Linked DNA regions of Mus musculus. The protein of the gene in region 7 interacts with the protein of the main gene of each other region in a biochemical or structural test. Links are inferred from orthologs where the notes say so. Each region holds a gene or a part of one and is shown on either strand. Other genes may lie near its edges. The genes, in order: Iqgap1, Hace1, Arhgap32, Arhgef7, Pak2, Arhgdia and Rac1.

Region 1 (2,624 bases), on a different chromosome or scaffold from region 7:
TATGTGCCACCATGCCGAGCTGCCTAAATATCTATTTTTGCACATTAAAAAATGTACCAAATAAGGATGGTGACACGCACCAGTAATCCAGCTCTCAGGAGACAGAGGCAAGAAGATTCAGAGTTTGAGGCCAGCCTGGACTTCATTGTAATTCCTGGCCAGCCTGTATAGTGAAAGCAATCTTCAAAATCCAAAGCCAGAAATAATCAGACAATTGAAAGGATTCATGAGCGGTGTCCAGACCCAACTATGTGTGTACCACATAGTAGACCTCTTACGGTTTTTGTTGGTTGGTTTCTTTTTCTTTTCTTTTTTTTTTTTTTAAAGATTTATGTATTTATGTATGTAGCTGTCTTCAGACACACACCAGAAGAGGGCATCAGATCCTATTACAGAAGGTTGTGAGCCACCATGTGGTTGCTGGGAATTGAACTCAGAACCTCTAGAAGAGCAGTCAGTGCTCCTAACCAGTGAGTGACCTCTTCAGCCTGGTTGGCTCATTTCTTTTGCAGTGCTGAGAATCAAACTTTGAGCCTCACACATGCTCTACTGCCAAACTGCTCTTCCATGTCTTGCCACACCCTGCCTTGCTTGCCACTGCCGTGGTCTAGCAAACCAGGCTGGTGCCTCTCTGTGAGCAAGCGTTCCGCCTTCTGCACAGGATGCTCTCCCCTCCTGGAATCAGCCTCCCTCCCTCTGCTCCCTACCTGCCTCCTGCCTCCATCAAACAGTGAGCACTGGCCCGCGCTGCCCCCCTACAGCCGCAGTGATGGCCCTTCCCCTTGACTCAGCAGCCCTGAGACATCCTCTGTTGACAGTGCGAGCTGACTCATTTCCCTGCCACCCCCAAAACTGGGAACTCCTAAGACAGTATGTCTTAGTCATCTGTACCTCCCTGTTGGTAACCAGTAGTCTCTCAGCGCATATTAATTCAGTAACTGTGAAAGGATTTCTTCACACACTGTAACTAAGCATACTGCATACAGTCCCTATTCCATTGGTTTCACTGCCAGTGCAGGCCAACCAGTCTGCTAAGGAGACTGTACACTGCTGCTCGGATTCAGGAACTGGTCTGCCTCATAGGTGCCTGGGGTTAGGGTTAGGCTAGGCAGAGAGGACACACCATGGTCCCCATCCTTGGGACACTGCGGTCCCTTCATGCCCTTCCTCACCACCACTCACCAGTTTAGTGGTAGTGACGACAGTGCTGTCGTAAGCCGCCAGGACTGCAGAGAACATTAGAAAACAGCCGATCATACCGATCACCCCAGAGCCAGCTCTTTCCTGATGGCCTTGCCACCCAACACTTTGAGCCTCAGCAGCTCATCTCTAAAGTTCAGATAATTATGCTTCATAAGGTTTTTGTAATGCCTTGAAAAAATAGTGTGTAAGGTGCCTAACCGAGGCCACACACAGGCTCGGTGCTGGATGGTTGCTCCTCCTGTTGTACTTGCATTTACGTTAGACAACCTTTCTCATGCGGAGTTGAAGTTGGAGTCATATTCAGTTTACAAGAGACCCTGGGCTCAGTCTCCTAAAAACAAAGGACTCCAGTAGACTGCAGAGCTGGAGATGTAGTTCTGTTGGTAGAATGCTTGTTTGGCAGGCACAAACCCCTGGGTTTGATCTCAGCACTGTAGAAACTGAGCCAGGCAGCACATACCTGTCATCCCACCATGGGGTCAGGAGTATTCGGTCAGCCTGTGCAAAAGTGCCAGGGGTGGAGGCGGGGCGGGGGCAGAGCAACTGGTAGGTACTGAGACATTACAGGTCATTCTCATTTTCATTTCTCATTCTCATTGGCATATTTCATAAATTGAAATGCCTTTACTTTTTCTATGTGTATTAAAACCTCTAACCTACATCTGAAACAATGGGGAAATGCCATCATAACTTCTTTTTGATTAATCATTCCTTTACATTTCAAATCATATCCCCCTTCCAGTTACCCCTCAACAAATCCCATCCCATCTCCCCTCTCCCCTCTCCACCCTCCCCTTTGCCTCTTGAGGATGATGCTTCACCCACTCATCCATGCCCTGCTCACTGCTCCAGCGGCCCCTACCGTTGTAACTTTTGAAATAAGCTTTAAATGTATTTTAACTGAACATAACTCCTAATTTCCCTTTGTGTTTAGAATCTTTTACTATAAACTAAATGATAACCTAAGACTAAGTTGTAGGCTCCCTGTTGCTCCAGCACCCAGGGTAGCTGGCCCCAGGGCAGTCGTGCCCCGTAAAGCTCTGCACTGAGAAGTGTGTCTGACCTGCTGCACCATTTCACACCTGGCACAGAAGTCCTGCCTCTCCTCTCCTGGATCGTGGGGTCCTTCCTTTTCTTGTTCTGGATTCGATGGTGAAATTGTTTTGTTTTGTTTTTTAAACAGGACTTGCTGCAGCTACAGTATGAAGGAGTTGCAGTTATGAAATTATTTGATAGAGCTAAAGTGAATGTCAACCTCCTGATCTTCCTTCTCAACAAAAAGTTCTATGGGAAGTAATGGGTCGCTCGCCGCCCAGAAGAGTTAACAAAAAACGGCAGCACCTCACGGCTGTCTTTCTAGGATCCTCCATTATTCCTTAGAAGCAAGGACCTGGTCCAGTGGCGGTGCCTCAGTTCACACT
Region 2 (3,500 bases), on a different chromosome or scaffold from region 7:
CATGAGAGATACTGCCTGCCTCTCATGGAAAAATAAGGCAGAACAAGCAAAACCAGGATTGAGTCAATGACTCAAGAGACACAGGAAGGATCTCGTTGAAGATCTCCCCTGTGTCACTGCGGGCCTGTCTGTAGGTGTCTGTAAATATGAGTGAGTAAATGCCCCTCCACAGAGCTTTGCACTTACTTCACACATTCCCTGGCCACTCACTCTCTCACTTAGCAAGGTATTCTAGAAAGCATGTCACACAGCAACTGCAGTATGTAACCTGCTTCTCAGACCACACCCACTTCTGTGGAGAACTTTTACATACACCTGCACCTATACACGTGTCCCCAGAGGATAAGTTTCTAAGACAACTGTCACACTAAAGTATGTAGTTACACTAAGTGTCAATAAATACTGCTAAAATGCCCCTACCCATAAAGGTCAAGAAACAACTGAGAAAAATAACCCATTGCCAATACCTGGCTTCCATGTGCATCCACACTGGAGACACGCCTACTCACATACATGCAGATATCACATACATACAAATAAAAAAATTTTGAATAACTTTTTTTTAATTAGGTATTTTCCTCATTTACATTTCCAATGCTATCCCAAAAGTCCCCCATACCCTCCCCCCTACTCCCCTATCCACCCACTCCCACTTTTTGGCTCTAGCGTTCCCCTGTACTGGGGCATATAAAGTTTGCAAGTCCAATGGGCCTCTCTTTCCAGTGATGGCCGGCTAGGCTATCTTTTGATACATATGCAGCTAGAGACAAGAGCTCCGGGGTACTGGTTAGTTCATAATGTTGTTCCACCTATAGGGTTGCAGATCCCTTTAGCTCCTTGGGTAATTTCTCTAGCTCCTCCATTGGGGGGGCCCGTGATCCATCCAATAGCTGACTGTGAGCATCCACTTCTGTGTTTGCTAGGCCCCGGCCTAGTCTCACAAGAGACAGCTATATCTGGGTCCTTTCAGCAAACGCTTGCTAGTGTATACAATGGTGTCAGCGTTTGGAGGCTAATTATGGGATGGATCCCTGGATATGGCAGTCTCTAGATGGTCCATCCTTTCGTCTCAGCTCCAAAATTTGTCTCTGTAACTCCTTTCATGGGTGTTTTGTTCCCAATTCTAAGAAGGGGCAAAGTGTCCACACTTTGGTCTTCATTCTTCTTGAGTTTCATGTGTTTTGCAAATGGTAACTTATATCTTGGGTATCCTAAGTTTCTGGTGAATATCTAACTTTTAAACTATACAATACTGAGTAACTAAGTGATGATAACACCATCACTTAGTATACATTTCCAATCAACTTTTTCAAAATGCAAATGCTTAACTAATACAATCAGCTAAACAGTAGTCTAAATTATGTAAATAACCAACACATCATAGTACTAAACTAAAATGATTCTTTCTAACTCAAGTCTTAAATATGCTAGTTTGCTTAACTTAAGTACTTTCATCTACTTGCAAATGACAAAGTAAGTTTTTCTAGCAAATGCTGGAATAATTTAGAGAAACTGGCATCAGGGCCATTATGAAGAATGACTAAGGCAAAAATCTGGATACTTACTTTGTTATTTTGTGTCACAAGAATACTTCCACCCCCAGGCTTTAAAGGCACCTCTTCCATAGCTCCAAATACATCAGTCTCAACAGAAAAAGTCAATTCTAGACCCAAGTCACTAATATCATTATCTAAAATCCATTGCAAATTTTTGGCATATTCAGGATCAATAGATGCTACATCTTGGTAATTTACAGGAATACCTAAAAAGAAAATTGAAAAGACAGCAGTTACAATATAGGCACTTCTGACTTCCCTTTACTGATTTAATGGTGAAATGCTGCCCTCTACAGATACTCTGAAAAACCACAAAATATAATCAAATTTGCAGCATGTTTAAAATGGATGCTAATTTCTAAATTTAGAAGTCCATTAAATTAAGCTGCTGTTCCTTCTTCATCTTTACAATGCTGTCTTTCTTTGAAACAGCTATTTAGGAAGCTGTTATAAGCTTCAGAATTGCCAATTACTTTAGGTATATGCATAAAAAAATGGATGCTTTGTATAAACACATACACACTAAAATGGAAATGCAAAAAAAAAAAAGTGATTTTAAAAAAAGGTAGAGCATTTTTCTCTCCCTCTAGCCCCCAGATACTTTAGGAACACAGATGGTCTCTTATCAGAGCAGTAATTATTTCAACAGAAATGGCAAAACTGGCACTTATCCAATCCATTCTCTCTAAAAGCTGCAAGGAAAGCAATGTAAATGTCTTCAGAAGTGAGGGTACATCCATACCGAGAATGTGCTTGTAGAATGATCGTGTGAAGTAAATATTGACCAGCTGCCTGTGGTTCAAAGCTAACCCCAAGATCTGTCCAGCAAACCGGAAATAGTTCAAGTGATCAGGATTGACATAGGAGTTGCTGTTGGGCTGGAAAGTTGTTCCTATTGAAATAAATAGAGGACAGTAAGATCTATATGCAGAAAAGAACATTCCAATGCAGGTAACTTTATTCACATGTAACTCACTCAGCATGGCTATGGTTACATTATGCAGACTACAGCATGCAGTTCTTTGCATAATCTACAGAAAGACAGTAGAATTGGAAGTATAAAAGATGATCATCAGTTCACACTTGAGAGGAAGTCATAAAATACTTCTGACTGACACCAAAGAGTCCCTGGTAAACACAATAAAAGATCATACACATATGCAAACATTTTTCTAGGAACTGTGGCAGTAACTACTCAGCTATAAATCTGACAGACACTGCTTCATTCATCTGTACATGCCCAGTACTCACTAGATGTTGCATATTAAGATACACAAACTATGAAAAGAACCATTCTTAAGTAATTTGATTACTGAATGTGATGCCTATTAATACCAATTAATGACTGGGAACTCTGCCCACCTAACTCATCCTACTCTCAAAAGGCAAATAATCAAGTTTAAACAACTACCAATGATGTGAAAGTGACAACAGCAACCATATGATCACTCAAACCTATGTAGTAGCGTGATACAGTCCATCTTTATGAACTATATGGAATAGACAAATTTAGAATAGAGGCGCAATAAATTAGTGGTAGAGGAAGCTGAATCTAAGGTACAGAGTTTCTCCTCAGGCTGGTGGGACAGCCCCAGAATTAGACTTGGTGATGACTGCAGAGCATAGCAAAAGGACTTAATGCTAACAAACGATCTACTTTCAAATGTCTTCAGTGGTGAATTTTATATTTTACCAAAGAAGAAGAGGAGGAGGAGGAGAAAGACAAAATGACACACTAACTTCCAAAAGACCTAGCAAAATAGTGAAATCTAAAGCCACACCTTGACTTTAACTCCCCTTCAATACTTTTTCTGGCCATTGACGTGAATTACAAATTCATTTGTTCATAGAGCAGAATATACATTGAGTTTGTGCTTTACACTACTATTTGAAAAACAAGGCTTAAACAAAGACAAACTGATAAAATTAATGAAACAGCACCAA
Region 3 (3,500 bases), on a different chromosome or scaffold from region 7:
ACATATTAATTGTATGAGGTTGGCTTTTCTCTTTGAGAAATGTAGACATAAGTTATGCTGAAATAGCTTATTCAGAAAGTAATGTCCTCTGAGAGTCTCCACCCAGCAGCCAATGGAAAGAGATGCAGAGACTCACACCCAAACATTCGATGGAGCTCAGGGTGTCTTATAGAAGAGTTGGGAGAGTTGAGGGACCTGAAAAGGACAGGGACTCCACAGGAAGACAAACAGAGTCAATTAGTCTGGATCTTTAAGGTGCCTGAATCACCATCCAAAGAGAGAGCCTGGGCTGGCTCTAGGCCCCCTGCACATATGTAGCAGAGGAGCAGCTTGGTCTTCATGGGGGTCCCCAACAACTGGAATAGGGTTGTCCCTGAGCCTGTTGCCTGCCTGCTTGTGGATCCTCCTCACCTAAATGGACTTCCTTGTTTGGCCTCAGTGGGAGAGGATGCACCTAGACCACAGGGACTTGATTTAAGGAGGAACTAGGGAAATGGGGGTGACACCCAGTAGGAGGCTTCCCCTTCTCTTTTGAGAAGGGGATGGTGGAATGGGGGGAGGACTTGCATGAGGGAGTACTGGGAGGAGGAAAGGGCTGATGTTGGGTTGTAAAGTGAATAAATAACTTTTTAAGAAAGAAATGGCAACAGGCAAGAACCAAAAAAAAAAAAAAGAAAAGAAAAGAAAAAAGAAAAAGAAAGTAATGAATGCTTAGTGACTTCTCTGACACTGGTTCTTGACCAGCAAGAGAATCACTGGTAACTGAGACATGCAAACCCTCCTGCCCCAGCCCAGTCCCACCTGGTCAGGAACTGGAGCGTCCAGTGCACCCTGATAAGTGCAGAAGTTGTCATGATCCCAGAGAAGCTGCAAGCAGGACTCATACAAACTTGCATGAGGCTTTTGTTTCACTACAGTTTTTGGTTGTCACTTGGTTTCAGGGACTTGAGCGCTATGACACGCACTGCAGTGTGTCCTGCCGGTGTCCCTCTGAGGTCTTACCCTCACTGCTTCTCTAAGGAAATGCTAGTAAAGGGTGTGACTCCCTTGCGAGGGCTGTAGGAAGACAGATATATGTGCAAGTTAGTTTGGATGTTCCTGCTGCTCTCCTGGCTGTGCCCATGAACATAAGGCTCTTGTTTCCTTAGGTAATGTAACACTAGCAAACCTCAGAATTTCCCTTTTTTCATTTTTGGGTATCCTTTACCTTCATTTTTTTTCTGTGACTAAAGAACCAGAAGTTGGCACATGTCTTTATCATTTCTAAGTTGGTCCTCAGCACCTTGCTTTCATATTTTAGCCCCTGTTTTACAAAGAACAAATGTCTTTAAGTAGAGATTCAAAAAGTAGACATTAGGATGTAGACAGGCTTGGGTTTCATGAAATCCTGATGCCCTCATACACTTTCACAGGATTAGGAAAGTAGTTGAACTTCTTAGGTCTTCATTTCATCAGCTTCTTGTGTGGTTATCTGGTTTTAAAGGACATCTAACTATACACAGGTAGCTGGCTCTTAGTCTGGATTCCTGCCATCCCTCTGTCCCCACTCTCTCCTCGCCTCAGCTGTCCTATACTGTCTTCTTTGTGGAGGCTTATTATCAATGTCTTCTTTGCACTTTTTTTCATCCTGAGGTGCACGTGGTCTTTGAAGCTATAGTTCTTGTTGCTCCCCACATTAGCTCCCATGCCTTGCAGAGCTGCATGGAAGGCTCCTATGTGGCTCCCATTGTGCCTCTCCAGGCTGTTACATTCTTTCTATTGTTTGTTCATTTCTTGTTCTGTAGGAAGGGATAGAGCCTTGGTTATCTTAGTACTGATAAACTACTTTTTGTTTCATAGAAAGAGGCCTCAGAATAAGATGAAAAAATCTCCCGTTGGCAGCTGGCGTTCCTTTTTCAATTTGGGGAAGTCCTCTTCTGTCTCCAAACGCAAGTTGCAGCGTAATGAAAGTGAGCCCTCAGAAATGAAAGCCATGGCTTTGAAAGGTAAGCACTGAGCTGCCCTGTTCTGGGTAGCAGACTGCCTGGTGGCTTCTGGCACCTACCACTGTGCTCACAGCCAACTTCTCTGGGTGTACCTTCCCGTTGCCATCATGACACACCTCACTGTAAAGCATGCATAGTTGTGTGGCCCAGCTTGGTTGTCTGCATGTGTGATTGCAGCTCGTAAGATAGTATCAGTTACGTAGAGAAGAACTCCGTTTCTTAAAAAAACTGTGTAGATGTTACACACACACACACACACACACACACACACACACACACACACACACACACACACCAGTAGTGCATTTGTGTCATTGCTTCTCTAGGGTAACATAGCTTGTATAGTGCTGGTAATAATTCTCCTGTGTTATGTACTTGTTTTGATCTTTAGTTTCACATATTTAAAATTGACAAGTCTGTGTTTGAGCATACTTTTCAAGTTTATAACTAGTTTCACCCATGTCATTCTCCTACGTGACTAGCCTATGGAGTACTGTGTTCCATCAGACAGATCTATGACTGTTAAGCAAATTACTCTTTAAAATTGATTTTAAAACTCGTGCTCTGATACGAACATGTTCTTAAACTAGAAAACCTAGTAGCATTTTTCTCTTAGGGACCATTAGAAGTAATGCTCAGGTCATTTACATCATACCGTTTACAACCAATTTATTACCTAATTGTTAGATATGTTGGCTCTGCAGAAAGAAAATTAAGGTAGTGCCCTGCCTTCAGAGTTTAACTAGAGAGCCTTCTATATGAGAAAACGACTCCCAGTATGCAGTTACAGCTGAGGGAGAATTTTATGCCTAGCATCTTTGGCTGGCATTGTCAGCTCTTATGGTGGTAGGATGATGGTCAAGAATGTTAACTGTATTTTAGAAAATTAATATTTTGCTGGGCAATGGTGGCCCACACCTTTAATTCCAGCACTTGGGAGGCAGAGGCAAGTGGATTTCTGAGTAGGCCAGCCTGGTCTACAAAGTGAGTTCCAGGACAGCCAGGGCTACACAGAGAAACCCTGTCTCAAACCCCCCTCTCCCCCCCAAAAAAACTTAATATTTTATGTGTATGGATGCCTTGTTTGCATTTTTTTTTTTACCTTTTTTTTCCGAGACAGGATTTCTCTGTGTAGCCCTGGCTGTCCTGGAACTCACTTTATAGACCAGGCTGGCCTACTCAGAAATCCGCCTGCCTCTGCCTCCCGACTGCTGGGATTAAAGGCTTGTGCCACCACGCCCGGCCCTTGTTTGCATTTGTGTGTGTACACTCCATGTGCCTGGTGCTCATGGAGGCCAGAGGAGAGCCATGGATTCCCTGGAACTGAAGTTATAGTGGCTGTGAGCTGCCTGCCATGTGGGGGCTGGGAATCAACCCCAGGTCCTCTGAAGAGCATCAGTGCTCTTAACCACTAAGCATGCTCTCCAGCACCAGGAAAGAGAACTTTCAACTTGGGAGTTGAAGAAGGTACAGTTCACCTGATCTTTAAGGCGACTGAGAGTCCTTTCTCAGGAG
Region 4 (3,500 bases), on a different chromosome or scaffold from region 7:
TTAGGTGTGTGTTGGCTTTTGTTACTTTGAAGCAAATGATTTTTAGTGTACAAGAAATATTTTTATGTAGCTGAAGAGGTTTGTCAGGTAGATGAGAGCAACATTGACTTAACAGTTTGTCCTACTTTCTTGTAGCTTGAAGAATCCACCGGTCCTCAGGCCTCAGTAGCAGTTTCTAAGTTCTTTTTTCTGGGCCACGCGCAGACAGTTACCAAGTAATATTCAAAGATACTCCATACAAGGATGGAGAGGGCTCAGTGGTTATGAACAGTGGATGTTCTTCCCAAGGACCTGGGCTTGATTATCAGCACACACATGGCAGCTCACAACCATTTGTAACTCTAGTTCCAGGGGGTCCCACACCTTCTTGTGGTGTTTGGGCTCTGTTCACATGCAGGAAGACATCACACATATAAGCAATACAAAGAAATATATCCTGACCTTTTACTTTTTCTTTTCTTTCCCCTTTCTCCTTTCCCCCTTCCTCTCCCTCCTTCTCCCTTTCCCCTTTCCCCTTTCCTTTCCTTTCCTTTCCTTTCCTTTCCTTTCCTTTCCTTTCCTTTCCTTTCCTTTCCTTTCCTTTCTTCTTTTTTTCTCTCTCTTTTCCTTTTCCTTCTCTCTCTCTGTCATTCTTTCATTCTCTCATTCTCTCTCTTTCCACAGGATCTCTGTTACATAGCTCTTACTGTCTTAGAACTCAATATATAGACCACTGGCCTGGAATACACAGAGATCTGTTTGCCTCTGCCTCCCATGTTTTGGGATTAAAGGCTTGTGCCATCACACCTAGCTAAATAAACCCTTTTTTTTTTTTTTTTTTTTTTTGGTCTTACAAAGCGCTCACAAGCTCTATAGCTCTTTCTGGTTATAGTTCTCCGACCTGCTGAGGTTTAATGTGGGTTTGGTTAGATTCTGGTGGCATTTAATATTGCTCATCTAGTTTGGTAGAAATCTCAAGTAGAAATAAGGTCTGAGATTCCATGGGATCTGGTATAAAGATTTGTGCACACATTTATGAACAGATTCTTTTTACTATTAGGAGAAGAATGAGAGATACCTCCTGCTCTTCCCAAACCTTCTGCTCATGTTGTCTGCAAGTCCCAGGATGAGTGGTTTCATCTATCAGGTAAACACAGCTACACTGATTGTAGTTTTTGTTTGTAGTGGATGTGGCAATTGTTCTCCTTTGAATTGAATGTATTAATGTTGTACTCACCTGTGTGTGCCACGTGTGGTACCATGTCGTGACTCTGTGTAAGAACTCTGTGTGTTCACGTCTGTTGCATCTTTTGATGTGACTGGAGAGCAGTGAACAGCCCACATCCATCTCTCCCTGACCGCATTGTCCTCTGCAAAGCACATTGCTTCTCTGGGCTTTCATGTTCCATTCTGCCCAAGGTAGGTTCAGCTAGGTGCTGAGGGCTAAGGTCTTCAGTAAGGGGTAGAACATCCCAAAACTCTGGACTTGGAACCTGATCATTTAACCTTAGTAAACTGTTAGTAAACTTTCTTTTAGTGTCTTGGTTTGTCACCATTTCTTGGAGAACGTTTGAGAGTTAGTTGTAAGAGAGAGTGTGAGGGACTCTTTTCTGTTAGTCCCCACCAATGGTGGGGACATTAGGTAGGGTCTGGGAGATGCTATCAGTGATCCTGTCTCAAGGACTGGCTAGCCTCCACATACTATTTTAGTGGATGTTGTTGTTTCACTTTCAACCGGCTTTTCTCTGATGTGTGTGTTTTATGTTGTCCTGTGGAAAATAGATGTGGCTTGGTCTGTCCCTAGGAGGGCTAGTTACCACAGGTGTCCCAAGGGAGCCTTTACAGATAGATGGCCGAGCAAATATGCATGGGAAGAGTCAGAAACCTGAGGCTTCCATTGGTGAGACCTTCTGGGTGGCTAAGGTGCCCGGGTGGCAGCTCCCTGTTGAGAGATGCCTGTTTCTGGCTCCACTCCATACCCTAGAGCCCCAACCTAGGCTGGCACTTGTGCAGGGGCTGTCTGCTGTTGCTGCAGCGTGCTCCTAGAGATGCCATCTCTGTACCAGGGCCATCTTTGTTCCCAGGAGTATGCTGATTAGCCCTGTGGTGATCATCACCTCCAGTGCTTGGAGGCTAAGGCAGAAAAATCAAGATTTTTTAGGCTAGCTTGGGCTACATAGCAAGAGTCGTCTTAAAAACAGAACCTCCTTGGCTTTGGGGATGGCAGCTCTGGCAGTGGGACTGCGGCTCCATGGCTGAAGATAAGAGGCGGCTGCTGGGAAAGCGCAGCCAACACTCCTCTGTGGGGCTTCTTGTCCTCAGCCACTGAGGGGTTAGGCCTCTGTTGCGCTTTCAGCCTGGCCCTCAACTGTTTGGACTGGGTGACTTGTTTGTTTGGTTTGTTTTTTGCCTGGAGTAGGGCACAAGATAGGGAAACCGTCGTCGGTAGTTTTCCTTGTTTGCTTTGGACCTCTGTTTACACATCATAAGCAGTTTGACTCCCATGTCCAGGTCACAGTCCATCCCTGAGGATAGTGCAGGACAAGCAGGAACAGAGAAGGAGAATAAGAAGGAGTGCCCTGCTGCCTGCCTTCCCCTGCTCCCCCCCACCCGCCATGCCTTTCTAAGGTTTTGAAGCCTCTGCCCAGAGGTGGCATTTTGCATGGTGGGCTGGGCCTCCTGCTGTCAGTCACTAATCAAAAGTACCCGGGCAGGCTTGTCTGTGGGCCCCAGGAAGGCTGACAGTCCCTCTGTTGGGCTTTTCTCCTGCTGATAGCTTTAGTTGTATCAAGTGGACAAAACTCATCAGCACAACTCCTGTCTCCTGTCTGCTGGTGAAAACCCTGTTCTCTTTGTAAAGATGTGGCCTTTGGCAGCTGGCTGTCACAGTTTATATGGCCCAGGGAAAGCTGTTGCCTGCTGGCTTTTACTGTTTAAATGAGCTTTGTCCCCCTGTTTTTCTCAGCTGGCATTTCCTGCTTCATGGAGAATCCCTCCCATTTTACAGACAGACTGACTGCCACTTGGGCACCCTGTGGCATCCGTTTGACATCACGGCTTATTTCCTGTTTGAATTGTCTCTCTCTGTGTTTTTGTCTCCATTACTCATCAGCTGGCTCTTCAAACTCCTAACTCCTTTCTCTGTGAGGCAGTGAGTTCTCTGTCATATGCCGTTAAAGCAGCCACTGTGCACCCTGGCTCCGTCTTCTGTCTTCCACTCATAGAATCACCCATTGGGTCAAGATCCTGCTTTGGTTCAGTTTGGGTTCTTGATCTGGTTTGACTGTTCTTTAAGGTGTCCTTTAAGCTCTTTTGTACACTTAATTCTGCTGCCACGTGTGAAGTCATTTAATGTGTGTGGTCCCTTCTTTATTAGGAAAACATTGTTTTGGGGGGTCTTTTGTAGGGGAAGCTGCCAACAACAGGAATGACAATCACAAAGCTTGAGGACAGTGAAAACCATAGGAATGCATTTGAGATATCAGGTAATGTATCCACACTGTGCCAGTGCCATGTCCTTG
Region 5 (4,174 bases), on a different chromosome or scaffold from region 7:
TCATCATATCTTGTACTACAGTACTTTTTTTTTCTTTTCGAGACAGGGTTTCTCTCTATATAGTCCTGGCGGTCCTGAAACTCACTTTGTAGACCAGGCTGGCCTCGAACTCAGAAATTCGCCTGCCTCTGCCTCCCAAGTGCTAGGATTAAAGGAGTATGCCACCTCGCCCAACTACTACAGTACTTTCTAATATACCCATCTTACACCAAGGTGCAGCTACATAAGTCTTGTGGTTTTGGTTGTGAGCCTAGCCTTCATCTCTCACTGACCGTGGCAATCCTCTTCCTACTTGTAATCCTTTCCCCTCAGTTCTTCCGAGTTCCTTTTTCTGTTTTAACTGCCACCTTCTCTGTCCACTCTGTCCACGGTAATCCCTCAGCTTTTTCCCCACCTTGTAACAGGTATCAGTGTTTTGGTTTTTATGTTTTCATACGTTTTTTTGGTTGTTTTTTTTCTGAGACAGGGTTTCTCTGTATAGCCCTGGCTTTCCTGGAACTCACTCTGTAGACCAGTCTGGCCTCGAACTCAGAAATCTGCCTGCCTCTGCCTCCCGAGTTCTGGGATTAAAGGCGTGCGCCACCACCGTTTTCATGTTTTTAACCTTTACAAAGACTAGGTGAAGCATGTTCATTTCTGGTACCTAAATGGTCTTTTGTAGATATTAGATATTGACATAGTTGTGGAATAAGAATACATGAATTAACTCCTCCATTGATAAAATACAGAAAAATAAAAAAATCTTTGTTTTGCAAAGAGGGAGGACCTAATTTAGCAGCATAATCTGATTCAACTTAATCTGGTTAAATTTGTAGGAAAAAAAAAAGCGGTGGCGTCGCATTCCTTTAATCGAGGCCAGCCTGGTCTTCAAAGTGAGTTCCAGGACAGCCAGGGCTATACAGAGAAACCCTGCCTCCAAAAAACCAAACCAAACCAAACCAAACCAAAAAACAAAGTGAGCTGGGCAGTACCTCTTCAGGAGGCAGAAGCAGGAGGATCTCTAGTTCAAAGTCAGCCTGGACTACAGAGTGAGTTCCAGGACAGCCAGGACTCGAAAAGCCATCCCTCCCCACAAAACACCAATTGGTGAATGGATACATTCTCAGAAACAAAGACCCTCTACACACAAATATGTTTGGATCAGCTGTTCTCCGTCAGCTTTGTCAGTAGGTAAACCGTAACTGCAGACAATGCAGAATGCTGATAAATGAGGGACAGGTTTTCTCTGTAACGCCCACTGTCCTGAGTCTCCCTAACAGATGACTAGACTACGGTTCCCAGCCGCCCTGTGAAAGCCCGCCCCTCGGGTCATGACGCCACTTTCAGGGCGGGGCTGTCTTACGGCCCCGCCCCGCGCCCCCGCCGCCGCCCTCCCCCAGGGTTGTGGCCACGCGCAGCGGCAGCGGTTGTTCCGCTTCCCCTCCGGCCCGGGCCGTCGCCATTGCCGAAGGCTCCTGCCCTCCCCTCCCTGGCCCAAGGGGTTCTGCGCCTCACGGCCTCGGTAGCGACGGCCGCGCCCCGCGCCGCTCCCCTCCGCCCTGCCCTCCTCCCTCTCAGCGCCCCAGCGCAGTGCTCGCCCGCGTCGGCCAAGCAGCCCGCCCTGGGTCGGGCGGAGACCTTTCCTCTCTGGTAAGTGCGGTTGCCGCTCGCCCGGGCCGGGCCGGGCCGGGCCGAGCCGCCGCCCTCCTCCCGCCTCCGCGGCCTGGGCCCAGCGGCCCGGGACGCCAGCACCTGCGGGCGGGCCCGCGGCTCCGGGCGGTGGCTCATTGTCTGCGCCCTGGCTCTAAGCTTCGGCCGAGAGGAAGCTTGCTGGGCTGTGGGGACCCTGGCCACTCCGGCCGTCCTTGCCCTTCTCTCCCGCCGGCGCTGCACCGGACGACTCGGGTTTGTTCCTGGATGTTCCCTCCTTTACCAGCTGCGTTCTCTGCAGTCTCGTCGCTCGGGAATCCTGTCGCGAGCTCCTTAAGTTCAGTGTGTAAACTCTTCCTCCTCCTCCACATTAGGAAAAAGTTTTTGCCGGGCTCTGGGAGCCTGCGTTTAAGAACAGAAGTTAAGGATCTTACGGTTTTTGCTTGATCTTTAGCCAGGAGGTGAATATTTGCTTCTTAAGGTTAACTTGGGCTGAGGTTGGCTTTTCACCATGTTTGGCTGTCTGAAACACGCGCGCCCTCACAAGAAAAAAAAAAAGTTGCTGCAAATAACTTAATGGACTCAGCCTTTTGATTAGTTCTAGATCAAGTCGTCCAAGACAGAAGTGTGTTAAATAATTGCCATTGTGGCTTGATGGGAAGGAGGCTCTCTCCATCCCCTGTCTTAATAGAACTAGGTAGAGTGGAAGTGAGATTTGTTTCCTCTTTGACAAATCACCAACTCCCATCGATAGCCGCCAGGTTCTTCTTTACAAGTGACCTGTAGATTTTCCAGCTTTTCGTTTCTAACCTTTTAAAAAAAGACAACCAAACCGGTTAGGCCCAAAATTAGACAACGACGAGCTGAGCTGTGTTTTGGGTGAAGGTTGTGCACGTCACGTTTTTCCCCTGCTGTATTCGACTCTTCCGCTCTTATAAAGTAGGCAGGATATTGAAATAAATACACAAGAATTTGCTCTGGGGATTTTTTTTTTTTTTTTTTTGGTAGAGCTATCCAAAAGAATAGTATGAATAAAATTAGGTTGGGATGAAGGCAGTGAGTAGTAATTTTTAAAACAGGTTAGGGCACGTCAACTTTGCCAGAAGCTCTGTGGCATTTGTAGAACATTCTTGCTTGTCTCTACCCCAGTTCTTCAGTTGGGGTGTGTGTGTGTGTGTGTGAAGGAAGCCTTTTTCGTATACTTTTATACCCATCCTCTGCCTTTCCTAGACAGGGCCTCATTCCAGCTCAGGCTGTTGTGACACTCTTCCTGTCTCAGCCTTGTGTGCTGGGATTACACGTGTTAGCCAACATATTTGGTAGCCTCTCTTTTTAGGTCTTTCTAGAGATTAATTAGCCAGGAACACTATTGTACATTTACATCAGGGAAACTGAATTTTATATTGTTGCTTAGATAGATAGAAAATGTAACTTTTGGGTTTTGGTAAAAGAGGTTGCCCAAAATTAAAAATGTTTTCTTCTTGTTTTCACTAGTACATTATTACCTTTCCCTCTGCCAGGCTATGGGGGAAATGGATTAGTATCAAGTACTGCCATCCTTTGGTACTGTGGGTTGTTCTTAGGTTAGTGAGTTGTCTTGACACTAGGGAGGAATGTCAGGGAATGAAAAAGTACCTTGAAGTTAGTTTCTGCTGTTTCTTTCTCCTTTTTAACCCCTTGTACCGGATTGAACCGCAGACCTCCCTGTGATGCTAGGCAAGTGTTCTTTGCAGCACTGAGTTACAAGCCCAGCCCTCTCTTCTCTGTGCAGACAGTCTCACTGTTTCCCAGGCTGGTATTGAATCTCTTCCCTACCAGGTAAGCCTTGAACTGGGGTTTTCTTCTCAACCTCCCTAGTAGCTGGGATTGCAAGCCTGTGCCTGCAGAATATCTCATTTGTTTCCAAAAGCAGGTATTTGTTTGTTTTTCTTTGGAGACAGCCTCTTTCTATGATACCCAGGTTTGTTTCAAACTTCTGGACTTAAGATCTGCGTCAGAATCCTAGCCAGTGAGATTACCATTGTGTTGGGCAAGCAGACATGTTTTTAAAAAGAGAATTCTTGGGTATTTCACTTATCTTGGGGCCTTGATTCCAGATTTACCTTTTGAGAGAAAGAGATTAATTCTTCTGGGCTTTGTGATCCGTGTCCTGAAACCTAAATTCATGAAGTGATAGTTTTTAGTTGATATATGTCTGATAAAAGGTTCTCGTGTTTCTTTGATTTTTATGATAGGCAAGTTTCCAACTAGACATGATGAAGGCTAGTTTTACGTGTTTTAAATGAGGAAATTTAAAACTTGTTCTGGTTAGCTAAAGATAAACTCTGAGTTATACTTTTACAAAATGCAGGAGCTTGAAATAATTGCCAAGTATAAAACTAGTAGCTATGGCTGAATCCTTACTATCTTCATCAGTATTGGTTATTACAGTAATAATGTTCCGTACTCGGTGCTTTCAGTTTTCTGGCTTTGGTTCAAATTGGACTGTGTTCCAGTCTTGAGACTAGGTCAGGCCTTTCTCTCCTCAAGCACTGCTAGTTACAGA
Region 6 (4,106 bases), on a different chromosome or scaffold from region 7:
GGATGCAATGCCCTCTTCTGACCTTTATGGGTACTGCACACAAGTGGTTCAGAGACTACTTCAAAATATTGATATGCATAAACATAAAAACGCAGCTTTGGAAGATTTGTACTTTGAGCGTCAAACCAGGGAATTGTGGGTGGCACAGAGCTCAATAAACCAGGCTCATCCAGTTGGAGGACCATGAGCCTCCTGAAAAGCCAGCTTGACACACTTCGTTGGGCACACCTGTGTGTAGGTGGAAGGCCAGCCAAATTCATCATACAGTAAGAGTGGGGATAGTCACGTGGCTTTTTGTTTTAGAATAGTTCTGCATAGAAGAGCAGCTACCTGGATGTAGGGTAATGATATTGCAAATCCATCTTCCTTAGAGATAAAAATAAATGAGCTTGAAAGAACACTTGGTTTGCTTCAGATTGATGTATAGCCAGAGGGTATGCGTGCTTGTGTAAAATAACTGGGCCACAACTGAAGATGGAGAGTGGAGGCCATTGGATTCCTCATCTTTTAAGTTTGATGACTCTCCGGAGCCAACAGCTGTTTCCTGGATACCACAGGGGCAGGTGTGGCCAACAGAGCAGGCCAGAAGCGATGGCTTTTGTGGGATTAAGCTATAGAAGTCCCCGTAGTGCCCCTTAAATTCCTGCCTCCCCTCAGTCTGAGGCTACACTCAGAAGAAGCCAACATGGAGTGCCCTCACGGAGTAGCAGGAACTGAGACTCCTCAGGAGGAACTGGAGTGGCTGGCACAAGCACACGACCGGGAACCCCCCCAGCCAGGCCCTCCACTAAGGAGGCTCCATCCTCAGCGTCGTGAAACACGCCTGGCGGTGATGGTGCACGCCTTCAATCTCAGCATCCTGGAGGCAGAGGCGGGCGCGTCTCAGGGATGAGGTTCAAGATAGGCAGGCAGCCCGTTCCAAGGAAAACCGCTCCTCACAGCAAAACCATACAACTTCTAACATACGGGGGCTCGGGGGGCACGCAGTCCCCAGAGCAATGCGCCAGGCAGCACAGCTACAGGGCACTGCGGTCGGTGAGGACTGTGGTTCTGTTGACTCTGAGGACAATGGGACAAGGGCCAGGCACGGCAATCAGGGAACCCTGGGAGCCACAGAATGGCCGCGCGACGCTGCTCTGGAAGAGCCGGCTCTCGTGTCCCACAAACCCTCGCACCCGGCATTCGGCAGAAGGCGCGAGGGCGCCGGCCCACGCGGGACGCGCCCACGAGGCCCGCAGCAAAATGGCGACGGCGCCGACCCGCGCCCCCTGGCGGCGCATGCGCAAGGCGACCCCGCCCGCGAGAGCGGAAGTCTTGTGACCCCGGAAGTGACCGTCCGAGCGGCGGGCGGCGGACGACGTTCGTCATTTGGTGCGGGAGGGAGCGCGAGAGCGGCGGTCGAGCCTCCGGTGAGTGGGCGCGTGGCGCAGCGCGGTGCAGTGCGGGAGGGGAGTGGGTTGGCTTTGTGCGGCGTCGCGGGCGACTGCGGCGCTCGCGGGCGGGGCGCGGTCACCCGGGCGGGCGGGCGGGGCGGGCCAGGGCGGCAGCGCAGGTCCTGCCGGAGGGGCCGCGGCCCCCCGGGCCTGCGCGCCTGCTACCAGGGGACCCCCTTCCTCGGCCTCGCGGGCGGGGTCCGGCGCGGGGCCTGGCCCGGGGCTCCCGCCGCGCGGCCCCGCCCCGCTCGGATTGCGGGCTCTACGGAAGTGCGGGCCGCGCCCTGATGCTGTCGCCGGCGGCCACGCTTGGCGTCGGGTGGGGTTGTCTGTAGCCTCCGGGTTTCGGACCGCCGCTTTATGTGTTTCCTTGGCGGACACCTCTCAGAGGGACAACGGCCGGGCTCTTCCCGGGACCGCTGCGCATTGCCTGTAGGCATCACAGTGGGTTTCCGAGAGACGTTTGGGAATCTGCGGAACTGAAAGGCATCTAGGCGCTTCCGTCCTGGTTGGTTCCTCACCGCCACTAAAGGTTTAGGGTCAGGGCCCAGAAACAGGCTCCTGAGATTTATTTGCAAGCGGTGCACTAGCTCCCAAGTTGCATACGCAGACCCTCACTAGAGAGGACAGACCTGCGTATTTAGGATCCCCTTTGGGCTCTTGGGATTTAAGCGGTCATCACATAGTTGAGCTTAGGACAGTATTCCATTGGAAGGGACGAACAAACAGACCCTTGTCCTGCACGTGGCTAACATACAGAGCATCTCCCTGTCGGAGAACTTACCTCCATGACCCAACCCAGTAAGATGAGAGCCTGGGCAGCTAGGGACAGCAACAGGACCCCAGGGATTTAGTGTTGCGTCTGCCAGTTCAGTTCGGTCTGGAGGCTTATTCTTAGTGGGGAGGAAAGGTGTTTTGCTTCTCTGAGGAACAGGCTGTGGTCCCATTTCGTTGCTTGGGGTTCTAGTCCTCTCAAATGGGCCTCTGCGTAGGGCAGTGGCAGCATCCTCTCAAAGTTCCAGTCAGGTGTCCTGCAGGTGTCAGGGTCTGCCTAGGGTGGAATGCCTCCAGGCTGTCACAGTCCTGCTCATGCCCCGCCCACAGGTGTCCCAAGCTAGAGGTAAGCATGGCAGAACAGGAACCCACTGCTGAGCAGCTTGCGCAGATAGCTGCAGAGAATGAGGAAGATGAGCACTCTGTGAACTACAAGCCTCCAGCCCAGAAGAGCATCCAGGAGATCCAGGAACTGGACAAGGACGATGAAAGCCTCCGAAAGTACAAGGAGGCCCTGCTGGGCCGAGTAGCTGTCTCTGCAGGTAGGTGGCTTGGAGGAAGGATGTCATCTAAACCTGTGCCCAGTCTCTTTCCAGACCACTCTTCCAAGGAGTGAGTTTAAAAAGAAAAATCTTAAGGGATGGGACTCTGACTCTTAACTCTCACTCTGCAGACCCCAACGTCCCCAATGTCATTGTGACTCGACTGACCTTGGTATGCAGCACTGCCCCAGGCCCTCTGGAACTGGACCTGACAGGTGAGTGGGTATTAGAATCCCTGGGTGGGGCCAGCTGGCATCTTGCCTCTACCCCTAAAAATAATTTTCTGCACTGATGCCCTCTGGTGGAGAAGAGGGGAAGTGCAGCTAGGGGCTTGCCGAAGCTCTGCTTTGTGTCAGGGAAGGGGCTGGGGAGAGTGAATGTAGCAGGGTGGAGAGCCCTTCAAGCAAGCAGTCAGCGGAGACTCCTCCTCAATACAGGTGATCTGGAGAGCTTCAAGAAACAGTCGTTTGTCTTGAAGGAAGGTGTGGAGTACCGGATAAAAATCTCTTTCCGGGTAAGGTGGGGGCTTTGAGAGGCCTGGAAACAAGGGGCAGAGGGGCAAGCCTGGGAAGGCAGCTGACCCTGGCTCTGTGTCCCCACAGGTGAACAGAGAGATCGTGTCCGGCATGAAGTACATCCAACACACATACAGGAAAGGGGTCAAAAGTGAGTGGGCGGGCCATAGAGTGGGGAGCCATTGGGCCTGGGAGGGGCGTGCAGCACCAGTAATCCTGCCTCTCCTGTCCCTCAGTTGACAAGACTGACTACATGGTCGGGAGCTATGGGCCGAGGGCCGAGGAGTATGAGTTCCTGACACCCATGGAGGAGGCTCCCAAAGGCATGCTTGCTCGGGGCAGTTACAACATCAAGTCGCGCTTCACAGATGACGACAAGACTGACCACCTGTCCTGGGAGTGGAATCTCACCATCAAAAAGGAGTGGAAGGACTGAGCTCCAGCTGGGAGACGGGCAGGGCGACGGACAGACAGAAGGACCGACATGCCCCACCCTAACCCCCTACCTACCCCAAACCAAAGTGCTGACAGGACCTCCCTCACCCGTCATTCCTCCCTAGTCCACTCAGGCAGTCAGCTCTCCTGTCTGCCCCTCCTCCACCTCCTGCCCGCAGGCCCCTGTGGTCTCCAGTGTCACATTGCTGCTTCTGCCTGTGCAGTGGGGGAGGGGTTCCAGCCCAGGCCTCCAATCTGCTGTGTCCCTCCAGGTTCCCTCTGTCTTCCCTTCCTCAGGCCCTGGCTTCTAGAATGGAACAGAACACTGTCAGGGTTGTCCAGCCCACCTTGTCTCTGTCGCAGCATGGGGAAGGGCTGGGCTATCTGTCCTCTAGTCCCACCACTCC
Region 7 (4,025 bases):
GGATCTCCAGGGCAAGCTGGTTGGCTAGATTAACTGGAATTGGCCAGTTTTGTGTTCAATGAGAGATCTTACTTCAATATATATAAGGTGAACAGCAACTGAATACACCCAGTGTCAACCTTGGTCTTCTATACACATGTGCACCACACATGTGCCCACACATGAAAACATGCACACACACACACACCACAGATAACCAAAAATATCTTTAATGTTCTTGTCTTCTAATAGGCTACCTTATTTGTGAATGAATTATATGCTTACCCTATCATATCAGCAATCTTTAAAAGAATTCTTCTGACCTTTATCCTTCTGTTTATTATTTTAATGGTATGTATGTTTTTTTTTCCTTATATTTTTGTTTATTTAGTGCTCCCTCCCCACCCCCCACCCCTATTGAGAAAGTCTCATGGTAGGTCAGGTTAACGCTGGACGCTACATAGCCAGAGGTCAAACTTCAGATGTTTCTGCTACCTCCAGTCCAGAGCTGGGATTCCAGGTATGCACTACCTGATATATACCACATCTGTTTCATACCGTCGTGAGGTTCAATCCTAGGGTTTCATATCTGTATCTGCTCGGGGAAGCACTCTACCAATTGAGTTGCATATCCAGAGGTTGGACTTGAGGTTGATCCCCAGGATTCTACTGCTTCCGCCCACCAAGTGCTGGGATTACAGGTGAGCCACCAGGGCAGGCTGTGATGTGCTAGGGATGGAGCCCCAGGCTGTACATGCCGGCAAACATTCTGACTTGGCTACATCCCTAGCAGTTTCTTTTTTGAGACTGGATCTCACTGTGGCACGAGCTATACAGAATTTTCTAGCAGGATCTTACGCTACAGCATACTGTAGTTATCACATAACAAGGGGGCTCAGGAATCTCTCCATGGAGTTGGCACAAGTAGGTTGCGAGCGAACGGGACCCTACCACTGACCCGAACCCGTAACCCCAGGATTCAGAGGGCTTCCTAAACCTGGTCACAACCGGGACGCTTTAGCGTGCCAAGATGGCGGCCGCCCCGCCCCGCGGCCGCCGAGCCCGTTCTCCGGCTGGAGCCGACTGTTGCCGAGCTTTCCCGAAAGCCCGTGGAAGCCAGGAACGGCGCGGGCGGGCGCGCGGGCGGGCGGGAGCGGCCCCGCCCGGAGCCTGGGAGCTGCGTCGACGGCACCGAGGGGGAGGGGAGGCCGGATGTGAGTGGAGCGGCCATTTCCTGTTTCTCTGCAGTTTTCCCCAGCTTTGGGTGGTGGCTGCTGCTGCGCTTCGCCTTCCCGTGCGCTGAGGGCCCGGCGGCGTGGACAGCAGTCCCGGCACTCGGCGCCCCGCCGCCCGCAGCCTCGCCCAGCGCTTCCCGAGCCCGCCGCTTCGCGCCTCAGCCACCGGCCGCCGCCGCCGCCGCCGCGGCCCACCGAGCGGCCCAGATGCAGGCCATCAAGTGTGTGGTGGTGGGAGACGGGTGAGTGCACGGCCGCGCCTGGCGCTCCGGACCCGGTGCCGCGCGCAGCGCCATCGGGGGCCCCCGCAGGCCCGAAAAGCCTCGAGCTGGCGTAGAGCGCGCGCCCGGCCTTCTGGGGGGCGCGAGCCTCCCACCCTCCCGGGCCTGGTTCCGGATTCTGGTTGGGGGAGGGCCTGGGCGAGCCGGCCGGAGGGAAAAGTGAACTCCACCCTCCTGCCTTCTTCCCGGGCCGGACGCCGCCCGTCGCCCTACTCGACTTGGCACGTAGGCGAGGCTGGTTTGAAGAATTTTTCTTGAAACATTTTTAAAAAAAATTTTTGTCTTTTGAGAAAGGGACGTATAGTTTCTTCATTTACTCAGGGTACCCCCTCGCACCCCCCCCCCCGAGAACTGGGATAGGTAACGGCCTCCAAGTCGGCCGGCCCTGGTCGATGCATGTTTGCACCAGTCACTTGGGTGACCTGGAACTTGGGAAAGGGCTCGGTTGCTTCGACTTGACAGGGTGTTTATAAAAATATTCATTTTCACACTTACGCCGAGAAAGTTACTGGGATGCTAGCTGAAGGAGTGTGATGAAGACTGTCCATTGAACGAAGTGTGGTTATTAAAAACAAACAAACCTTCTCTGAAGGCATTAGATATGGATGTAGCAGATCCAGCTCCCTGTGACTCGAGGCAATTCTTTTCGTGATTGACCGTGATGGTTTCAGGCCCTTGAGGGAGACAAGACTGGTCTTATGCAGTCCGTCCCGTTCCCCCCACCCCTTCGGTAGAAACAAGAATCTCAGTGTAATCGGAGCAAAATCGCGCGTCTCAGCGTAGCTTGTGTAGGTTCGTGTTAACGAGGAAGCTTGGAGATTTACCACCCGTTTCCTCAAACGCAGAGTGCAACTGGTCCACTTTCTAGTTCAGTCGAGTACGTTGCCAAACTTGCTTAATGCCTTCCACACTTGCAGTGAGCACTCGCCGCCCATGGGTTTATGAGCCCGTGGATTTATGAGCGATTGTTCAGCGTATTTACAGAACTCTACATTAGACTTTGGGATCGTCCCTGTAACTAAGTCAGCCAGACGGTCAGAGAACTTTATTTTTCTGCTAACATGTCTGTCTGTGGGATTTGTCTCGGAGACAGGAAGTCTCATGGATACGGTTCAATGTATTTAACGACACACTGGAATTTCATTGAGTAGGAATGTCAATGGTGCTTTCCTTTCACCTCCTAAAAGAAAGCTTTGTCACTTGGGGCACTTAGTTTGATAGTGAAGATGTTGTATTGTGGGGCCGGGGTCTTTTTGTGTAAATCCTAGTTTCTGACTGCCTTGGTCCCAACTCCATGATTCTCCTGTTAGGAGGACATGGACATAGGCGTTGGGCTTACAGGTATGAGCCACAGGTCTGCTTTAAGTGAAGGCAAGATGGCTGGGTCTGTCTGTCTGTCTCTCTTTTTGTATTGCGGTTGAACTATAACATAGCACCTTGCTGGGGAACGTTTAAAACTTACCTGAACTTTCCTTGAAAAGTTAAAAATGTTTCACCAGCAGTTTGTGGGCTGGGGAATACTACCACATTCCTAGTGTTTTAATAAGTTAAATTGCTCTGTCACCATCCTCTTTTCCTCCCAGAGCTTAGGGACCAAGGGGAGGAAGAGAGATTATAAGAGTCAGAGGTCAGGGACACCCAGCGGAAACAGTATTTTCTAGATTCCACTTGTGAACTCAGCAGCAGCTGTATAAGATCCTAGCCCAGGGCAGAGAGGGCCTAGGCTGAGTCGAGATGGGCCCTTGATGCTTCTAGGGGTGAGCCAGTCAGTGTTCTCTATGGATGTGGTCCTTGAGGGAAACTAGCCCCAGTGTGAGGCCTCACACTGTTGAGTCTATGGATGGGCAGCACAGATTGGACTAGGTGAGTTTTTAGGGCTGGGGTGGAGTTGGAAGGAAGTAGGGATGACTATGAAAAAGTACATTGAAAGACATCTCAAGACAATTACTTTTTAAAAAGGTAAATTGCTGCTGATCCAAACCCAAACCTTAGTGCTTGGGAATTCCTAAGACCTGACATGCACATGCAGCAGGTATGCCAGCACTCATTCTGTAACCCCCACCCCCAGCTGGGCCTCAGGGCCTTAGGTTTCCTGGCACGTCTGAACAGCTGAGATACGTCTTAGCCTGTTGCTGGCTTTAAAAAGAAAATCTAGTAAAAACGTGTAGAATGCCTCCTGTAGGGTTCATTTGGATTGCCACACCTTTCTTTTTCTCCCTACATTTTTTAATGTGTATGGGTGTTTTTGTGTGTATGTCCGTGCCGTATGTTGATGCCAGCAGAGGATCTCCTGAGACTGGAGTTACTGAGATCGGTGAACCATTAGGTTGTGATAGGAGTGGAACCCAGGCCCTCTGGAAGAATGACCAGTGCTCTGAACTGCTGAGCCATCTCCAGCCCTCAGTACCCTTTTAACCTACGGAGTAATCCTCAGCATATCATTTCTTCCTCAAGAGAGATGCCTCAAGGGAAAGTTAAACAAGCCTAAATGAGATGCTGAGTATGAAGAGGCTCTTGAGTGCCCGGTCCT

The links.
Region 1: the proteins of Rac1 (region 7) and Iqgap1 form a complex in vitro, tested with the Homo sapiens proteins (3 studies listed by BioGRID). The link is inferred for Mus musculus from reciprocal best matches to the Homo sapiens genes RAC1 and IQGAP1.
Region 2: of the proteins of Rac1 (region 7) and Hace1, one has a biochemical effect on the other in vitro, tested with the Homo sapiens proteins (5 studies listed by BioGRID and IntAct, with this or other methods). The link is inferred for Mus musculus from reciprocal best matches to the Homo sapiens genes RAC1 and HACE1.
Region 3: of the proteins of Rac1 (region 7) and Arhgap32, one has a biochemical effect on the other in vitro, tested with the Homo sapiens proteins (3 studies listed by BioGRID). The link is inferred for Mus musculus from reciprocal best matches to the Homo sapiens genes RAC1 and ARHGAP32.
Region 4: the proteins of Rac1 (region 7) and Arhgef7 form a complex in vitro, tested with the Homo sapiens proteins (2 studies listed by IntAct). The link is inferred for Mus musculus from reciprocal best matches to the Homo sapiens genes RAC1 and ARHGEF7.
Region 5: the proteins of Rac1 (region 7) and Pak2 form a complex in vitro, tested with the Homo sapiens proteins (2 studies listed by BioGRID and IntAct). The link is inferred for Mus musculus from reciprocal best matches to the Homo sapiens genes RAC1 and PAK2.
Region 6: the proteins of Rac1 (region 7) and Arhgdia are reported together in a solved structure, tested with the Homo sapiens proteins (2 studies listed by BioGRID and IntAct, with this or other methods). The link is inferred for Mus musculus from reciprocal best matches to the Homo sapiens genes RAC1 and ARHGDIA.

Annotation. Positions count from the first base shown.
Region 1 is NC_000073.6:80,713,708-80,716,331, reverse strand, and holds part of Iqgap1 (ras GTPase-activating-like protein IQGAP1), read left to right. Parts: intron 1-2,386; coding exon 2,387-2,500; 3' UTR 2,501-2,624. UniProt on the Homo sapiens protein: Plays a crucial role in regulating the dynamics and assembly of the actin cytoskeleton.
Region 2 is NC_000076.6:45,675,329-45,678,828, reverse strand, and holds part of Hace1 (E3 ubiquitin-protein ligase HACE1), read right to left. Parts: intron 2,449-3,500; coding exon 2,299-2,448; intron 1,763-2,298; coding exon 1,566-1,762; intron 1-1,565. UniProt on the Homo sapiens protein: E3 ubiquitin-protein ligase involved in Golgi membrane fusion and regulation of small GTPases. Acts as a regulator of Golgi membrane dynamics during the cell cycle: recruited to Golgi membrane by Rab proteins and regulates postmitotic Golgi membrane fusion.
Region 3 is NC_000075.6:32,248,803-32,252,302, forward strand, and holds part of Arhgap32 (rho GTPase-activating protein 32), read left to right. Parts: intron 1-1,839; coding exon 1,840-1,985; intron 1,986-3,500. UniProt on the Homo sapiens protein: GTPase-activating protein (GAP) promoting GTP hydrolysis on RHOA, CDC42 and RAC1 small GTPases. May be involved in the differentiation of neuronal cells during the formation of neurite extensions.
Region 4 is NC_000074.6:11,811,558-11,815,057, forward strand, and holds part of Arhgef7 (rho guanine nucleotide exchange factor 7), read left to right. Parts: intron 1-1,039; coding exon 1,040-1,126; intron 1,127-3,385; coding exon 3,386-3,464; intron 3,465-3,500. UniProt on the Homo sapiens protein: Acts as a RAC1 guanine nucleotide exchange factor (GEF) and can induce membrane ruffling. Functions in cell migration, attachment and cell spreading. Promotes targeting of RAC1 to focal adhesions. May function as a positive regulator of apoptosis.
Region 5 is NC_000082.6:32,076,543-32,080,716, reverse strand, and holds the start of Pak2 (serine/threonine-protein kinase PAK 2), read left to right. Parts: upstream 1-1,374; 5' UTR 1,375-1,629; intron 1,630-1,665; exon of another isoform or gene 1,666-1,884; intron 1,885-4,174. UniProt on the Homo sapiens protein: Serine/threonine protein kinase that plays a role in a variety of different signaling pathways including cytoskeleton regulation, cell motility, cell cycle progression, apoptosis or proliferation.
Region 6 is NC_000077.6:120,578,825-120,582,930, reverse strand, and holds the start of Arhgdia (rho GDP-dissociation inhibitor 1), read left to right. Parts: upstream 1-1,306; 5' UTR 1,307-1,409; intron 1,410-1,683; exon of another isoform or gene 1,684-1,941; intron 1,942-2,537; 5' UTR 2,538-2,559; coding exon 2,560-2,749; intron 2,750-2,880; coding exon 2,881-2,964; intron 2,965-3,186; coding exon 3,187-3,263; intron 3,264-3,351; coding exon 3,352-3,415; intron 3,416-3,500; coding exon 3,501-3,700; 3' UTR 3,701-4,106. UniProt on the Homo sapiens protein: Controls Rho proteins homeostasis. Regulates the GDP/GTP exchange reaction of the Rho proteins by inhibiting the dissociation of GDP from them, and the subsequent binding of GTP to them.
Region 7 is NC_000071.6:143,525,194-143,529,218, reverse strand, and holds the start of Rac1 (ras-related C3 botulinum toxin substrate 1), read left to right. Parts: upstream 1-1,225; 5' UTR 1,226-1,421; coding exon 1,422-1,456; intron 1,457-4,025. UniProt on the Homo sapiens protein: Plasma membrane-associated small GTPase which cycles between active GTP-bound and inactive GDP-bound states.